Linked DNA regions of Oryzias latipes. The main gene of each other region encodes a partner of the protein of the gene in region 4 in a complex. Links are inferred from orthologs where the notes say so. Each region holds a gene or a part of one and is shown on either strand. Other genes may lie near its edges.

Evidence for each region.
Region 1: ncapd2 (region 4) and ncapg share a complex: the UniProt entries of both Homo sapiens proteins name them as parts of the condensin complex. The link is inferred for Oryzias latipes from reciprocal best matches to the Homo sapiens genes NCAPD2 and NCAPG.
Region 2: ncapd2 (region 4) and ncaph share a complex: the UniProt entries of both Homo sapiens proteins name them as parts of the condensin complex. The link is inferred for Oryzias latipes from reciprocal best matches to the Homo sapiens genes NCAPD2 and NCAPH.
Region 3: ncapd2 (region 4) and smc2 share a complex: the UniProt entries of both Homo sapiens proteins name them as parts of the condensin complex. The link is inferred for Oryzias latipes from reciprocal best matches to the Homo sapiens genes NCAPD2 and SMC2.
Region 5: ncapd2 (region 4) and smc4 share a complex: the UniProt entries of both Homo sapiens proteins name them as parts of the condensin complex. The link is inferred for Oryzias latipes from reciprocal best matches to the Homo sapiens genes NCAPD2 and SMC4.

Annotation. Positions count from the first base shown.
Region 1 is NC_019859.2:13,397,531-13,401,165, forward strand, and holds part of ncapg (condensin complex subunit 3), read right to left. Parts: intron 3,578-3,635; coding exon 3,385-3,577; intron 3,298-3,384; coding exon 3,148-3,297; intron 2,241-3,147; coding exon 2,100-2,240; intron 1,775-2,099; coding exon 1,651-1,774; intron 1,581-1,650; coding exon 1,491-1,580; intron 936-1,490; coding exon 747-935; intron 672-746; coding exon 561-671; intron 1-560. UniProt on the Homo sapiens protein: Regulatory subunit of the condensin complex, a complex required for conversion of interphase chromatin into mitotic-like condense chromosomes.
Region 2 is NC_019867.2:25,810,900-25,814,525, reverse strand, and holds the end of ncaph (condensin complex subunit 2), read left to right. Parts: intron 1-145; coding exon 146-292; intron 293-993; coding exon 994-1,098; intron 1,099-1,236; coding exon 1,237-1,313; intron 1,314-1,565; coding exon 1,566-1,641; intron 1,642-2,702; coding exon 2,703-2,762; 3' UTR 2,763-3,022; downstream 3,023-3,626. UniProt on the Homo sapiens protein: Regulatory subunit of the condensin complex, a complex required for conversion of interphase chromatin into mitotic-like condense chromosomes.
Region 3 is NC_019859.2:11,209,152-11,212,437, forward strand, and holds part of smc2 (structural maintenance of chromosomes protein 2), read left to right. Parts: intron 1-228; coding exon 229-367; intron 368-458; coding exon 459-578; intron 579-697; coding exon 698-902; intron 903-981; coding exon 982-1,117; intron 1,118-1,990; coding exon 1,991-2,115; intron 2,116-2,209; coding exon 2,210-2,403; intron 2,404-2,531; coding exon 2,532-2,675; intron 2,676-3,286. UniProt on the Homo sapiens protein: Central component of the condensin complex, a complex required for conversion of interphase chromatin into mitotic-like condense chromosomes.
Region 4 is NC_019874.2:20,234,111-20,237,745, forward strand, and holds part of ncapd2 (condensin complex subunit 1), read left to right. Parts: intron 1-596; coding exon 597-733; intron 734-1,545; coding exon 1,546-1,678; intron 1,679-2,041; coding exon 2,042-2,117; intron 2,118-2,193; coding exon 2,194-2,400; intron 2,401-2,484; coding exon 2,485-2,645; intron 2,646-3,129; coding exon 3,130-3,244; intron 3,245-3,367; coding exon 3,368-3,491; intron 3,492-3,576; coding exon 3,577-3,635. UniProt on the Homo sapiens protein: Regulatory subunit of the condensin complex, a complex required for conversion of interphase chromatin into mitotic-like condense chromosomes.
Region 5 is NC_019871.2:13,494,251-13,497,885, forward strand, and holds part of smc4 (structural maintenance of chromosomes protein 4), read left to right. Parts: intron 1-1,050; coding exon 1,051-1,242; intron 1,243-2,196; coding exon 2,197-2,373; intron 2,374-2,880; exon of another isoform or gene 2,881-2,983; intron 2,984-3,635. UniProt on the Homo sapiens protein: Central component of the condensin complex, a complex required for conversion of interphase chromatin into mitotic-like condense chromosomes.

The DNA.
Region 1 (3,635 bases), on a different chromosome or scaffold from region 4:
TTAAATCCTCATTCTCCTTCTTTCTGAAAACTAAGCAACAACTAAATGCACTAAATCTGCTCTTTCAAAAACCAACAGTTACTCTCTGGATAGAAATGGCTTTCTTGTTCCACCTCCCCTCCAGCAAAGAGTTTGGGTGTCACTCTCAACGACACATTCTCCTTTTACGCTCCCATCGATAGTCAGCACATTTTCACCTTTGCAATAACCCCTCCCTCCCTCCCTCCCTCCCTCCCTCCCTCCCTCCCTCCCTCCACATCCACAGCTTATTTCCTGTCTTCATTACTGGAACTCCCTTCTTTTCATTTTTCCCTAAACTTGCACTGCTCCCTCTTTTCTTCACATCACTCAAATTCTTCACCAACTCCACTGTTTCTCAGTAGATCAAAAGGGTTGAGAACAAAATCCTTCGACTTTGTTCATGTGTGTTTTGTTTTTTTAAGGACCTTGACTGACAAGTGCTTCAAATAAAATAAATGATTATCATTATTTCGTCCTAAAAACACGCATAAAGATGTATTTGACAGCATAATAAAGTAAAAATAAAAAACGCTTTTTACCAAGGAAGACATCAATGCACTTATAGTTGGACCAATTCGAGTCTTGATGTTCATCTGCTTCATCAGCTCAGCACACATCGTTAAACACCTCAGAAGAGTCTCTGGGTCATTCTAATAAAAGGACATAAAAAAAAGAACATCAGTTCCATGAAACCCAGCAATGACGCATCCTGGATCTCACCGGACCTTCTCGGTGCGGGGCTCCTTGTCAGTCGGCTGGCCGCCCTCGGCGATGTCCTGAAGGATTTGGTTTCTGCTCTCCTCGAGGCGTGTGATGGATTCCTTCAGCTCTGCCGCTCGGCTGAACTCCTGAGCAGCGATACAATCCTCCAGAGTTTGTTTAGCTTCCAAGATCTGGACCTTTACTTCTGCCAGCTGCATGGAGGAGGAGGAGGAAAGGAGAACGTTTGGATGCAGCTACAACAATTTCCAACAAACAGGAAGAAATCAGTTTAAAACATTCACACATTCTTTACTTTCTCTGTAGCACCTTTAATTTATGTGGGAGTGACTCCTAAACCAGAAACTTGATCTGTTTTTATTAAGGTAAAATAATAGCAGCAGGAACATAAAACATCACTTTTTGGCTGTTATTTGGACATTTATTAGGTAGTTTTCATATTACGGTTTCTCAATGTATTTACTGTCATTTTATTTTATTTTCAAATGCTCTTTTTTTGAATGGAACACCAAAAATTAATTGTTTAAAGGAGAGAAAACAAAGAAATGACTGATGAGGAGGAAATGCAGCAGATAAAAAACATGAAACATTTGAAGTTAGGAAATCCACATTTTTAAAGGTTTCTTTGGCAAATGTTAAAAGCCTTAATTTTTCTAGTGAAAAGACTTAGACATTTTATTCACTAAAGGCAGGGGAAAGGATGGCAAAATCCAGATCCTGCTGGAGTTTTTCATTCAAGCGTTGCCCACCTTAACCTGCTGCCGTCGGCTCTCATTCTCATCCACAGCCCGATTGGGCTCCATGATGGGTTCCCTCAAGTCCGAGATGATTTCTGCCACCTGCAAAAAGACAACAGCATCTAGTAGAAGTCAGCCTCAGTGTAAAGCAACACAGCAGAAGGGAACCTACAGTCTGGATGCGCCTGTGGTCATCAGGGATGAGGGAGAGGAGTTTTTCAGTAAGCAGGGAAATCAGGGAGGAGGGGGTCTGTGGAAGAGCCATCATGTCCTGCAGAACTGCCAGCACACGCTTTCTGCAAATATTAAAAACCATGACATGCACTAAAAATCTACACAATCCCATCTGACAATAAGCTTAAGGCCTGGATTTCAATCCACAACAGGAAGTCTTCAAACATAGATTGTACCAACTGTAACCAGATCAAAAACGTGCTTTGGTTGATCTCTAAGAATTCATTTCCATGTAGTATTTGTTGTTGTTTCTGTTTCTCTTAGGATCAGATTGTGAATCTATAAGGCTTAAACTTTTACATTTTTCCTTTTGTTGAATCCTCTCCATACAATAACAAACAAATAATGTTTTCCAGTAGTTTTCCTTGGATTCAAAGGATTTCATACCTGCCACCTTCCTCGTTCGTGTCGAGGCAGCGGATGAGGTGGATGAGTTGTTGAGAGATAAATTCTTTGGTCATGACCAGCTCCAGCTGGTTGAAGTCGCCTCTCTGCTCCTCTGTGAGCAACGGCACCGCCTTCAGATATCTGCGAGTTAAGTAAGGGTTAATGGCCGACGAAGTGTGCAGTGTCACTGTTTAACGCACGCCGTGGAATCAGCTGACAACCCATTTACATCAACGCAAAATGACATTAACATTTTCAAAAAAAAGAAACGTTAATACAGCTTTTAGGAAAAGTTGTGTTAACTACTTTATTGTCTACATACAATCTGTCAGTTTTCAGCAAACTGACCAATTCACTGAATGTAGGGAAAATCCAAACTCTGGAGTTGTGACATCTGTAATCCTGTCAAGCTTTACATTTATTTAAACTGTTTTACACTGAAAAGCTGAATATTTTATTCTTTTATGAGTGAATATATCATCCCAACTTGATTGTCTTTCCTCTTTGATTTTAAAAATCAGATTTTTTCTCTTTTTTTAAATGGCCGGAAGGAGCAGGCCTCACAAACAGCAGTTTGAGCCCTTTCATTCACCTGTTAGTTGTAAAAAAATGTGCTGTTTTTTTTTGGCTTCAAACTGGAATTGACCAACTGTTCTGTTTTACAGATTTTTGTTCAAGTTTTGCGTTTTTTTTCCAACTGTGTGTGTGTGTCCTTGCTTCTACTTCTGATTGCATGCTCTTTTGTTCTGGTTAGTAATATAATAAAGTTATATTTAAAAGTACAAGCACTTAAGTGGTGTAGTAGAGTAGTGTCCTAAGACTTAGGATTTCTTTGAGCCTCCTCCATTGCTGAATTCCACTGAGAAATCGGAACCCGCTCTCACATAAGTACAGAGAAATACATTAACAACTCGGCTTAGTTAAAAAATTAATTGTTGCAGAGTAAGTATTATGGGATTCTTCCATAAATTTCTTCCTAATCAATAATAAGACTGCACAAGCCGTTTACTAACTTTCAAAAGCAATTTAAAACCTTTGATGCTCTTACCCACAAAGGTACTCAGCATAAGCAGCAGCATCTGGCAACACTTGTTCCAGCATTTCTTCTCCATCATCTCCTTTGTCCTTGATGAACTCACACAGCGCTCTCCAGTAAAGCACATTTTCACAGGTCAAAGAGTCAATTGGGATCACCTTCCTGTTGAAAAAAGTAAAGCAACAGATTCTTTAACCCTCCAACATTTTTACGACATCTCTTCAAATAGTAGGAAAGCTAAAAGCGGACCTGTTGTCAAGCCCCTCCCTGTTCTGCAGCAGTTCTTCTGCAGGCATGCTTTTGAAGATGGCTTTCAGCGTGTCCATCGCCGCATCTGCACAGTTTTCCACATCCAGTCGGTGGAGCAGCTCGATGACATCACCGTCCAGGCGGAGCAGCCAGGCTGGCAGGAGGCGGCTGCAGACCACCTCTCTCACTGCCTCTGCACGGAAACGTAAATAACACATGTACTGTGAGAAAGAGATCATTCATTGGAAGTT
Region 2 (3,626 bases), on a different chromosome or scaffold from region 4:
ATGACTTTGTTCCGTTCAGTTACTGCGTGCCAACCTTACTCACTAAAGCCATTTATGGGGAACATTTTTGATAAAACAGTAAAGCAAACAAAGCTTTTATCTTTGCGTTTCCTTCTGTCATCTCCTGGTCTGTCCTCTGCTTCAGGGGGGTGACAGTGATGACGACGATGTTGAGGGGTTTACTGGTTCCGATGACATCCAGCCGTCAGGTGGTAGTGAAGCTCCACCCTCACAAGACCTGGAGGGTGTGTCCACCTACGGGGAGGATGAACTGGTACCTGAGCCTCACAGAGTGAGTCATGCAGGGTTTTTTTTTCTTTTTCAAGAACACATAATGGATTTAGTTTGTTTTGTTTGTTTGACACGTATTCATTTACCTGGCAGTAAACCTGAAGCCTGTGAATCTCGATCATGAAAGGGCCTGCATCATGTAAAATCAACCTTTTGAGCTTTTAAGTGTATTATCATGTTAATTCCTCACTATAAACAACCCCAAAGCGGTATTCGGATCCATTCACGCATTTCTGAGCACCAGCCCCTCCCAACCCGTGAAAATAAGCGGGTTCATTGTGGCGTAGATAAGTGAGGAACAGCCCCTTCCAGGAAAAGTCTACCCTGCCAGCGCCACCCCCAGGCTAACACGCACACCCACTTTCTCCACAAACCGAGCGGTGATCATCAAAAGCGCTTTCCTTTTATAAGCACATGTATCTTTGCAATAGTTCAAATGTTGTTTGTTTTTATTGGCGAGATGCAGCCGAGGCCGACTCTAGGTTGATGTCATGAAGTGAGCGGCACCCAAGCGAAAAAGAACTGATGAAAATAACAAATATTTAATACAAAATTTGTTCTGTAGTGTGCCAAAATGTAATTTATTATTACATATATGGATATAGTTCACTCAGAAATGCTTAAAAAGCATGATTGAGGCCTTTTCCAAAAAGGCTGAACTTTGTATGGAATTGATTTTTACTCTACTGCTTGTGTTTGCAGGTCAACAAAATTGAAATCAATTATGCCAAGACAGCAAAGAAAATGGATATGAAGAAGCTTAAGAACAGCATGTGGACTCTTTTAACAGATAGTCCAGAAGAAAAGGTACAGGTGCTTTTACTTTGTTTCTTTCTTTTTTGTCTGTATTGTATCATGTTGATGAATGTTTAGGTGTCTGGCGTTGGTGCTTGAGGACGGTCTAGAGAGGGCAGCTGTGTTCATCTGGTTTTTGTCTTTCTGCAGGTGAAGGAGACTGTTGAGACTCAGGATGTGTGTGGGGAGAAAGCCTTCAGTCAGACCACAAAGATGCTGCTTCAAAGGTACCAACACAACTCTGGCACTTATAGCAACAATCATCAAAAGCTTTAGAAAGCCTCACATTCTACTAACATTGCTGGTTTGGAATCCATGCGTGGGTTTTACCAAAAAGTTTTGGCTCCTCCAACACTTTTTTTTTTCGTATTCTTGTGAGACATTATCTTCCTTTATAGACTGATGCTGACAGAACCTTGAAGAGTTTGATTTGAAATGTGCTCCTCCTCCTTCTCCCCCCTCCTTCTTGTACCCCTTAGGTTGCCGAACGTTATGGCTCAGAACCTGTCGGTGCCGCTGGCCTTTGTGGCTCTGCTTCATCTGGCAAATGAAAAGGTGCAACTATTTATTAGAAAATAAAAGAAAACATTGCAACCCTCTTGGCATTACAATAACTCCTAATCATAAATAGACAAACTTGCATTTTTATGTACAGTACAATCAATTCAATATAATGATTGTCAGATAGAGTTTGATGAATAGCTTGAAATGAAGTGGGAAGAAGCAAATTTACATAATCCCACCAAAAATAAACAAATATTAAGCATATGATGGAGCTAAAAGAAGTGTTTCACACTTTTCTGTGTTGTTTTTTTACTTAAAAGGGGAACATAATTTCTAGTTGCTTAGCATGTGATCTAGTTTTTTCCGTCTTTTGACAGTGTGTGAAAGTTTGAAATGGCTAATTGACACGCACATCTGTAACGTATATCTATTACATATACTGATGTCATCATGTAATCAGTTCCTAGATTAATGGGAAAAAAAGTGTTTATCATTTACCAATGAACAGCAGGACTGACGACCCGACTCTATTTTTGGTTGTCAAAAAAACCAAAATAATATTGGTTCATGAGTTAATTCATTTAAAATCAAATGGAAGTAAATGAGTTGTACTGTATTTGAGGTTCTGAAAATATCTTATCAGTTTGGTTTCTTTTTATTTAACCTTTATTTTACCAGGAAGTCCCTTGAGATAAAACATTTTTAGAGAGAGACGTGACCCAGAGGCATTGATACACACACAAACATAAAACCATGAAAATAAAAGAACATTTGAAACAGCTCAAGATAAACATGTGCACTCTTCGGTCACTCACTCAGTGTTATCAGTTTGTGGGATCACTTTGCTTATAAAGATAGTGACAGACGTGTCATTACTCCTACTCGACTTTAAAATGTTTCAACTTAAGAGCCTTTTAAATGAATCCTGTTTGTCTTTAAAATGACTTTAATTTAACATTATATTTGACATTAATTTATTATCAAGAGCAACTTTCAGCTTTAGGAATTCTACTTTTATAAAAGGTTATAACAACATAACCCAAGTTATTTTCTGTAGACAAACGTCTGAAGCTTTAACACCTTTTAACAGTTTTGAATTGTCTGTTTTACAGAATTTGGAGCTGGTCAAAGTTGATGACATGTCAGACATTATCATCAGACAAGGCCGCTAAGGAGAAAACCAGGAGATTTTTTTAAATTCTGTCCTCTTCTTTCTTTGAATTTATGCTTTTTCTATTTAAAATGTCAGGTTTTATTCACTTTGTGCTTAAGTTTTAAATCTGCCCTTTTTTCCCTCATAATGACAAGACGACCTTTTTTTTAACTCTGTACTATTTCATGATTATCTGTTGTGTAGATAAAAGAACTTTTCAACCACTGCTCAAAAGATATATATTGTCAAAAGAAATAAAATGTTTTTTTTTCCCATAAATGTGGTTGAGTTTGTGACTTAAATTTGGGCAGAACGTGTGAAATCCTGGCACATTAAACCTGTTTATAGTGTGAGTTTGCAACTTTGCTGTCGCCTTCCCGTAGAGGTTAAGCCGGTTTGTCTGGGTCTGTGCTTCCATCTGGGTGAGACGACATGACGTCCTTTCATTAAGGAGATACAGAACAAGAAAGAGCAGAGGACTAATCACATTCCAGTCCTTGGCGTAGAAGTTTTTAATCTTGCACACAGGAACTTTGATATAAACAGTGTTTTTACTTTAGGTTTCCTAATTTAATCCTAATATAATGGTAGAAATGTGCTTTTGTCCGATTATCACTAAATTGTGTAATGTGTCTCAAAATGTTTATAGTAATGCAATTAATATATAACACATAAGTAATTAGTTTTGTTTGTTTTGTTAAATATACTGTTTAAAAGTGGTTTTCCCATCATACCTCTCTTCAGACTTTCTGTTTAAAAACACAAAAGATTACTTCAAAGGATTCAAGGAGTATTTATTGCCAGTGAGCAGGGCATTTTCACAGAATTGGAATTTGCTGCGGTGCTAATGTGCGACATAAAACACTTGAATAACAAAAATAAA
Region 3 (3,286 bases), on a different chromosome or scaffold from region 4:
TTTGAAGTTTTAAGTGTGGACAAATGATTGATTCTGCTGTTTCTTTCATCTCTATGAACTATCTAATCTAAAGATTTGATTAAGAAATAGAACTTTAATTTCTTATCTTGTCCACCATGAATTGAGTTTTTTTTCTTCCTCTTGACGATGTTTTATTTGAGTCATTTTTCTTTTCTTCAGTTTGCATTTTTCTTCTTTTCTGTTGTAATAAATTCTGCTGTCTCCCAGAGATCCGGAGAGAGGCTGGGACCGAAGCAAAGTGAAGGGCCTTCTAGCTAATCTCATAAGTGTCAGTGATGTTTCCTATGCCACGGCACTGGAGGTAGTTGCAGGTGGACGGCTCTACAACATTGTTGTAGACACAGAGGTAGACCTTTTGAAAGTTTTTTTTTTAAATTTATTTCACAGGTGAATAAACAGAATCTTTGTGACTAAATGATTGAATCCTTCCTTCTTAGGTGACTGGTAAGAAGCTGCTGGAGAAAGGAGAGCTACAGCGCAGGTACACCATCATTCCTCTCAACAAGATATCTGCCAAAACTCTCAACGACAAAGTGATCCACACCGCGAAGCGCCTGGTGAGAAAACTCTGTGCTTTCATAGTCTCCGACTTTTTCTTGTGTATAAAAGGAATCACATCTCATTCATTAGGTTTTCTCGTAGGTAATTTTCCGTGATTTTGTCTTTGTTCTGTGAGGTCGGGGAGGACAACGTTCACACAGCTCTGTCCCTGGTGGGATACGAGTCTGACCTTCGTAAAGCCATGGAGTATGTGTTCGGCTCCACGCTGGTCTGTGACACTTTGGACAACGCAAAGAAAGTGGCGTTTGACAAACAGGTGATGACCAAGACTGTTACGCTTGGGGGAGACATCTTTGACCCGCAGGGAACTTTGAGTGGAGGTGAGATCAACGCTCGACTCCTGTTTCCTTGGAAAATCAAATCAGTTTCAATACTTGGCTCCTCTTTTTTTCTTTCCAGGCGCTCGCTCGCAGTCGGCATCGATTTTGTCGAGCCTGCAGGAAGTAAAAGATGTTCAGGACAGCCTGAGCGATAAGGAGGCCAAACTTCAGGATACTGAGCGACAGATGTCCAGTCTGAAGGGAACCGCTGAGAAGTATGCAAATGAAAAAGCAGAAAAGTTCCTCTACACATTAAAAAAACTCCTATATATTTACTAAAACTAGCGGTACTTTCTGTTGTGAAACCCCTTCTTTTAAGTGGGATGCAGTGATTCACTTTCCCCTCGATTCAGTTCAAACCTCAATTTTTGGGTCACGGTTCGAAATATGACTTTTGTACTACAAAGAGACAAACAACATTTTTGAAAAAATCATTTTAAATTTGCTAATAAGCAAAAAAAAAATATATATATATATATCAGTTGGCTAATACTAAGCCTGGAGTAATGTAATAAGACAATAAATAGTAAATCCTTCTTAAATTTAGCACAACTGTTTGACACTTTCAATGTAAACACGCAGTAGCGATGGAACAAATCCCCTTCCCCACAATGCGGTTTAAATGTGGAGCAAACAGTTTGGTTTGAAACCGAGAATGGTGGCATCCCTATTATGCACCATGGAAAATTAGATCCTCTTAATCAATAAAACATTCAATTCAGCTTGATTATATATTTTTTAATTCATTGTGTTTCTTTAAAACAAGCTACTGGTGACAAGTGTTAAAAAAAATCTATTAAGTCTATTTTACATTTCTTGTTTGGCCTGCAGTTAAAAATCAGAAGTTATAGAGATGTTTTGTTTGATCTTGTAGTGAAGGATATTTTTATGAGACAAAAGTCAAATCAAAGAAGATAACCGTGTTTTTTTAATTTATTTTTTAAGTTGTCTGAGGAAGCCTGCTTTTAAAAAACGTATAAGGCCCAGCTGTTTAGGGCCAGTTTACAACTCTGTCGTAGTTTAGAAAGGATTTCTTTGGTTAATTTATTCCAAATGACGTTTTTCATTTCACTTTTCCCTTTCTGCAGGTATCGGCAGCTGAAGCAGCAGCACGAGCTGAAGGTGGAGGAGGAGCAGATCCTGCAGACCAAGCTGCAGCAGAGCTCCTTCCATCAGCAGCAGGAGGAGCTGGAGAGGCTGCAGAAAGCCATCGGTCTGGACTTTAACTTCAGTTTAATAGAGGGAGGGAAAGCGGGAGGTTTCATCTGCAGTTATTTTAAGACCTTTTGTGACGTTTGCTTCCCCAGACGAGAGTGAGGCCACTTTGCGCCTCACCAAGGAGCTGCAGAAGCGAGCCGAGGAGAAGTACAAGGTGCTGGAAAACAAAATGAAGAATGCCGAGGCTGAGAGGGAGAAGGAGTTGAAGGCTGCCCAGGAGAAACTCAACAAAGCAAAAGCAAAAGCAGACGCCTTCAACAAGACTTTAAAGCAGAAGCAGCAGGTAAACTGTTTGTTTTAATGAAAATATGCAGAAATGAGTGGTTCCCAGAATTATTTTAAGATAGCTAAACCTTTGTAATATTTGATTTAATATTTCTAATCATTGGGTTTGTTTATTCTCGTCTCCAGGAGTCTGAAGCTGTGGCCTTGGAGCTGGAGGAGCTCCGGAGGGAGCAGGCCACCTACGAGCAGCAGATTCAGGCCGTCGACGAGGCCATGAAGGCCTTTCAGGAACAAATAGACAGCATGGCCTGCACCGTGACCCAGAACAAGGTAGGAGTGTCGGCTGGGAAGGCAACAGTCTCCTAAAAGCTTTCCCGGCAGAGATTTGCAATAGCAGCACTAAATCCTCATGATTTTTAAGAAAGGAGAGGATGTTTGTTGAGAAAGTCGAGCTAAACCAAATCAGCTTGAATAGATCCAGAAAGCGATGATTTCTGTGGAGATACAAAACATACCAAAAAAACTTTTACTTCAAAAAATTCAGTTCAAAGATTCAAAATCACAAATTCAAACCTTAGAAAATAATTATGCAACTTTAAAAATGGCCTTTTTCAGAGGAAAGAAAATAGAATCATCACATAAATTAGGAGGCATAAATAGTAAACAGACAAAACAGCAGTGTTCTACAGTCTTTCGGCATGTTTTAAAAGAGGTTTTGGAGCGGAGAGAAACCTTTCAGATGCTCTAAGACTTTGAATTTGAGCCAAAAACAAAAAATCGTCATCTACATAGATTGTTTGTTTGAGCCAATGACATTGTGATGATTTTGGTCATGTTTGCTACATGTAGAGTTACATTAATCTTTTCCATCTGTGAAGTCTGACGTTTTATCGATTTAGTTTTCAATCTGACTATGTTGTTAGAGGAAGCTTCAGCAGGAT
Region 4 (3,635 bases):
TGGCAATCAATGAAAATATTAAATGTAAATTGGTGTGAAACATTAATACAGCACCAATATATTTAACATTTTTAGTCTGAAGAAATGGGTAAAAACATTGTGCTGATTTTTTTTTTTTCCTTCTTTTTTCTAAATGATGAGCTGAGTCATCTACAGGCACACGATGATCCTGGTGCAATAAAGCTGCCCGCGTGCGCTGTTCCACCTCTCAGCCTGAGCCCACTACCCCTCCCCTTTCATTCTCTCACACGCGTGCAGCGTGTGACAGGAGCAGCTGCAGGGACGGCAGTTCACAGTTCCAGGCTGTTACAAACTCTGCCATATATCAGATGATAGGAAACCATGAGTGGCGCAAATTTTTTCCCAAGCACTCAGCTGCTGTCACCACCGCGCCCCCACCCCCGTTAAATTTGCAGGCAATTGCCCATATTACTTGTGGCTAAAACCGCTACTACGCCCCCCCCCCCCGGCATCGTATGGGCGCGCCCCACTAATTGAGAAGCGCTGCTTTAAAGAATGATGCTAAAACTAAGAGGTTTTAGTATTATTTTGGTTTGAATAGGCTGTGTTGGTTAACATGCAATCATGTGTTGTAGGTGCAGGAGTTTTTTGCCAGTGGCAGTAACCTCCAGTCCACCGTGGTTCAGGTCTTGTGGGAGAGATTTACCGGTAAACGAGAAACTTCTGCCTTACACAAGCGAGCTGCTGTGTTGCTGCTGGGCATGGCAGCACGGTAAGACACTAAAAACTCTTTATTATTTACAATAGTCTTTAAACAGATTCAAATAAGTCATTTGAATATATAGATCACATTTTTCTTTGCCTTTCGGCTGTCCCCTGGACCCTCATTTGTGAAAGTCCTTCACCTTCTTCACCTGTTCCGTCTTGCAGCAGCTGACCTTCATTTTATCCAAACACAGATTTGTTCTATTTCATTTTAATGTTATCTTTGACATCAACTAGCACAGTAGGGCACAAAAAGATGTCATCTGCATTGAATGTAATTTCAGCCAGCTCAAGCAGCACTTCCTTTTTACATTTTCATCATCTTCAGCTGCTTGATATTTAGCAAATGGTTCTTAGTCTGAAAACAAGTTCCCCGCCTGTGCTTCTCTTTGTAACTGTAGTCACGACCATATAACTAAGCTCCTTTTCTTTACGTGTGTGTGTGTGTGTATTTATGCATGCTGGCTCTTTCTCTCACTATCTCTCAAAGACTATTGCTTTAGGGAAGAGGGAGTGAATAGGCAAGTGAGAGAGTAAAGAGTGTCTCTGCAGTCCTCCCACACTGCTGCTTCCCATCCAGCACCAGCAGCATTCGTAACCTATTAAACCTTCTGTGCTTTACTCACCCATCTTCCCACATGCATTATCTGGGCAGCCTCCTAGTACTGATTAGACCAGCACAGAGCATCCAGGGTCATTTAGGTTACTGTTGCTGTTGCCTCACTTTGCATTACGGCATAATCAATTGAGATTATACAATATTTATACTTCAGTTTGATTTAAAAAAAACAAACATTGTTTTATTTGTTTTTTTAACAGGGCAGAAAGAGAAGTGGTGCTCAGTAACCTGGATACTCTCTGTTCAGTGGCTGTGGGAGAAAAAGCTACACAAGACTTTCTGCTAGCTAGAGACACAGTTATCACCATCTGCAGCATCACTGACCACGTCAGGGTAAGAAACAAAAGTTCCCTCGAAACATCTGACCTGACGATTTCTGCCCAGGTGAAAGAAACTCTGTCCATGAATATTTTCCTCCTCAAGGCGCCTAAATGTTTTCCGTTTCTAGTTTTGGGAGGATTCCACAATGGTTCACAAGAGATTAATTTAACATTGCACTAATACTTAGTGTCCTATCAAAAATCTGCATCTTTAACTGTATATGTTTTAAGTTTCATAGCATTCAAAACATGTACATTTTGTTGAACAAAACAAATCAATTCATTGAAACTTTTTGAATGCCTTTTGTTTGGTTGACCATGTCAACAGCGATCAAAGCAGTCAAAAGGTCAGAAAAAACCATTTTCTCCTCATTAGCAGTCAAAGGGAGCTCCGTTCAGACTGCCTCAGGACCACCAGTTGTTCACCTGCCTGACACAGGCCATTGCAGAAGGTAAACCAGAAAAAGAAACGCTTTAAGAAAATCTCATTATTCATTGTCTTCATTTTTTCCTGTCTTTTTCCCTCAGGTGTGGTAATGGAAGACCCTTTCTGGCAGAGCTTCATGGAGCAGGCTGTCCGTCTCATCTTCTTCCTAGCTGAATCCCCAGAACAGCTGTGCTCTCGGCTCCTCCAGCGAAGCGCCCGGCTCTTATTGGATCAGATTTCTGAAGGTGGGGAAGTCTGCAAGGATGTCGACCAAATGCCAAATGGTTCTCAGGAAACCAATGAGCAAGGTAGACCCTTTTTTTCTTTTAAAGAAGACATTTTCATGGTCTAGAGTTGACACTGTAAATGTAACTTGTTTCCAATTCCTTTAGTGAACTGCGTGTGTCTGGCTCAGCTGCTGGCCCTGTGTGGATGCGTGGCTTTCTGGCAGGTGTCTCACCTGGAGCGCAGTGTGAGTGCGGAGCTCCGGAGGAGGAGAGGAGAGACGGAGGAGAGGGAGGAGAAGGAGAAAGGGCCATCCAGCAAAGCTAAGGTGTTTTTCAACTTTTGCACTTTGGAAATGTTCTCATGTCTTTGATAGAATTAAAGCTGGCTCACCTGTTAAGTTTCTCCTTTGTAATAAAAAAAAAATCAAACTACCAGTATTTGTTTTTCTACAACTTTTGTTCTGACACTGTTCTGCAGCTTTGTTTCTTTACCGTCTTCTATTAACAGAACTTTAGGGAGCCTAATTTAATCTAGGTAATAGCCTCCAACTGTCTAGGTAACAGCTAAGGATGCAAATGACTGCTAAAACACATCTTTCTACCTTCTTGAAATACATACTTTTAAACAAATATTCTTCCTTTTTCATGCATTTAAGTTACACAATATGTCCCTTTATGCAGCTTTTACTCACTCAAATAATTAGAAGTTCTCTAGTTTGTTTCATCTCAAACGTCAAATCAAAACATTGCTATGATGGATGCTGTCTTGCTTGAAGGTCTTTCATTGTTTTCATTTGACATCATTTATAGCAGCAGGCAGCCAATGAAAGTGCAATGGAGGAAGAGCTTGGCCTGATTGGAGCCTCTGCTGAAGATACAGAAGCTGAACTCATCAGAAGAATCTGTGAAACAGAATTACTTTCAGGTAAAGAAAATCGATTTTTAATTTTCCAGTACATATCCAAGTATTTCATAATAGTTGAAATCCTTCATACAATAAACAGAAACCAACATTTGTTTTTCTTTTTTCCCTTTTCAATCGGTTCAGAGGAGAACCTGCTAAGTGCTTTTCTACCTTTGCTGGTGAAAGTGTGTAGCTCTCCAGGGCGCTATTCTCACCCTCAGCTCACCACTGCTGCGTGTCTGGCGCTGTCTCAGTACATGATGATAAAGTAAACACAGTGCTCTCTCAGCTTTAAACTCATGTAATGTACATATGTCTACATAGTAATCGCATGTCTTTCTGCCTTAAATCAGCCCATCGGTGTGTGAAGAAAACATTCGTCTGATGTTTACGGTCCTGGAGCGCTCCACTC
Region 5 (3,635 bases), on a different chromosome or scaffold from region 4:
TACCTTTACTTGTAACTAAAGTCCATACGCCGCTCTTTCGGAAGAAAATGACTTGCCGCTTGCTATCACTTATTCTATTATTTTTTTAGCGTCATAATCTCAAGGCTCACCGGCGCCCCCTAACGTGAGGCACGGGAACTTCTGGCCTCACCCAGCGGCTTTTTCGCCGGCGTTTAGCGCTCAGCACAAGAAACACGTCCCTCACATACAGTTATTTATAAAAACAAACACTGTACATCATATACATCTGCTAAATTATGCAAACTCAGCTCATACAGTACAAGTGATTGAACCGACATACAGAGAGACAGCAGTACCGTCTGACTGCATAGGTATTGCGCAATCCAAGGTGAGGCTCAGCGGGCTGGTGCCTCATCGCACGTCACTTCTTAGTATCTGAACGGCAAATGCGGAAATTCAGCGATTTTGAAAAGAAAAAACACCCAAAATTGGTACATTTAAATGGAAAATGACTGCAAAGCACAAATTACTGATTAAATATAATAGTTGAATTTATTTTTTCTCTTTTCTTCCCATGACAGGTGAGGCACAGCCTCACCTGCCTCTCCTGACTGCACGTCACTGATTTAGTGTAACTGTTACTATCCAAGTCTTATTCATTTGATACTATTTTTTTTCTTGTCTGAAATCTTAGGTCACCTTTCTAATAAATGTGTCTTATTGAAATCTATAAAAAAATAAGATTATTAGTAAAAATGTTTAGAGAGAAAAATCCTTAAAAAAAGAGGAAGAAGTCACACTCCTCCATTTTGATTTAGTGTTTCTCTCAGTTTCTGAAAATCTACTGGTGTAATCACATTTAATGAAACTTTTTAAATGTTTTTTTCTTTAAAAAAAATCTTTTTCAGTCGCCTCATGTCCATGCAAGTTTCATATTGCTAAATTTAAGTGTTTAAATCTATATTAGACTTGTGTGTGGTGTCATCGCTGTTACTGACAGCTGTTGTTGAATCTTAATCTCTTGTATGTTTCATATGGATGATGCATTCATTTTTATTTATTTATTTTTGTCTCCTAATTTCTTCCCAGCGCTTTTCCTGCATCATTGGTCCAAATGGAAGCGGCAAGTCTAATGTGATAGACTCCATGCTCTTTGTGTTTGGATACAGAGCTCAAAAGATAAGATCAAAAAAGCTTTCAGTGTTGATTCACAGCTCTGATAAACACAAAGATGTGCAAAGCTGTACTGTGGAGGTGCATTTTCAAAAGATCATTGATAAGGTATACAGATATTTATAAACACTTTTTTTTTTTACACACAAATACAAACTTCACTAAAATGATCAGTTTGTTGTTCAAACAAACAAAAAAAAAATCACCAGAAATATTTTAGTTGGGCAAAAATGAATTTTTAAAATGTATTTGTTCTTTGTCGTTTCTAATGCAGTAATATTGCTGCTCAATTCTTCTTCTAGTGACCAAGTGTAAACTTAAATCAGTTGTGAAAGTTACTGGAACTCCCACACGTGCCACATTTGAGTCATTTTGCCCTAAAATTGATCTGATGGCAATGAAGGGAAAGAGATAAACAAATGCATTTATTGCCTCTGCTTTTTTTCATGGTGGCAAAAAAAAAAAAAAAGCAGTAGTGTTTGCTTTAGGTAGGATGTAATAACAGGCTGCTGTAACCACCAACTGTGAGCTACATTTTCCCCCCAATTAGAAAATTTTTTATAAATTAAATTAGCCATAGGGACTGTGAATTTGATCACACTGCTGAAGCTAAAATGTTGTGTATTTTTTAATAAACATTGATTTGTCTTAAAATTGGCACAAACTGAGAAATCTGTCAGTTTTGTATTTACAATCATTCCTTAAAACTACAGGGTTTTTTCTTTCAGCGATGTGCACACGGCCTTAAATAAATAGCCTTTTTTCTTCTTTCAACTAAACATTTTTACCCAATCCGTTTATCTTTTGTAGTTACAAGTTTAGGAAGCTTACGATGCAATACACTCCAATACACATTTAGTGTTTTATCTTATCCTTTGCCTTTATAGATGTAGTGCATTCTCATAAACAATATTTTATGTGTGTGTTTTTCTATGTAGGCCTTGTTAATAAGTGAATCTGTCAGTGTTGGAACAGTTTGACGTGTTGGGCTGTTTCAGCCTCTCCTGAACTGTTCTGTTCTAAGCTGCTGTGTCTTCTGCCCCTCCCCCCCCCCCGAGCCAGGAAGGAGATGACTACGAAGTCATCCCCAACAGCAAATTCTACGTTTCCAGGACTGCCAACAAAGACGGTTCCTCAGCCTACCATATCAATGGCAAGAAAGCCACATTTAAAGAAGTGGGGGCATTACTACGAAGTCACGGTATTGACCTCGACCACAACAGGTTTCTGATTTTACAGGTAATTATTTAGTGTTTTTCTTGTATTCTTTCCTTTTTTCCTCTTATCCTGCAAGTCCAAAAAACTTTATTTTTTTTTGAATAATCATGCCATTCTGTCATTTATCTTTTTTTATTATTATTTTTTTATTTTTTTTAGTGCAATTCTCAGGTTCTTTTTTGCTTAAATGTTTCTCATGTACCTGTAGGCCATGTCTGGAAATGTCATGGAATATGCTGTGGTGTCATAGAAAAGAACTGGGGAGGGGTTGCCCTCTGCAAGACCTTAGAATGCTGTAGCAGCGCATCATGGTTTGAAACAGTCAGAAAAAAGTGCGAACCATTATTTGCTGCTTTAGAATTTTAAGGAAAAAATGCAAAAAATTGAAATTCTCCCACATAAACCTGAATGTCAGTTGCTAAACTATTTGCTAGCTTAACAGAGTTTTTTTATATTTTTAATATTTTTTTTATTTTAATTTTTTTATTTTTGTGGATCCACTAATGGCGATGAGGTGGACCCTTCCTTTTTCAATATACCTGCTACGCTGTAGCAGCACGTAAATATTGGCGTGTGAAAAAAGCCCCCAACCCCAATATTAGCAGTGCTGCTTCAGTGTGACGGGATCAAACATCCTCTGTTGCCAGGACTTTAACTATCTGTCTTGGTTCACGTTTTGTTCTATTACTGTAATTCATGGTATACTATGGTCCTACATTATTCTTGGTTAAAAAGATTTACGGTAACCAAGTTTAAATCGTCTCACCTGTCATAATTTTCTTCTTAATATTTTAATTTTCTTTTTCATTTAATTGTATTTTTTACCTACCATAAAATAAAAAATAAAATATTGAAAAACTTTTCCAAGAAAAAAATGTAATCTCACTTTATAATCAATTATTTCACATCTTTTTTTTTTTTTTTTAATAAAAAGTGTTGTGTTTTTTCTTTTTTCCTCTAAATCTGCCCGTCTATATTCCTTCTCCTTACACAACCCTGTTTTTGGCATGGCTCCATGACTATGGGAAGAGTCTTGAGCTTGGCTTCAAGGTCACTTTTCCAGACCTTTAGCAAAAGGGGAAGCGGTGTCATTTGTGCTCCAATCAGGACAGAAGGATGTGGGGTTAGATCTCCCTTCTTCCTTGAGCTTATTTGTTTCATCAACATACAGTAATGTCTGATCTACTTTTTACCCTGCATATAAATCAACCCTGGGTTAAGCAAGTGTGTTATATGACAAAAATCAGGTCAGTGATGAGTGTTTGAATTGAACTAGATGTTTT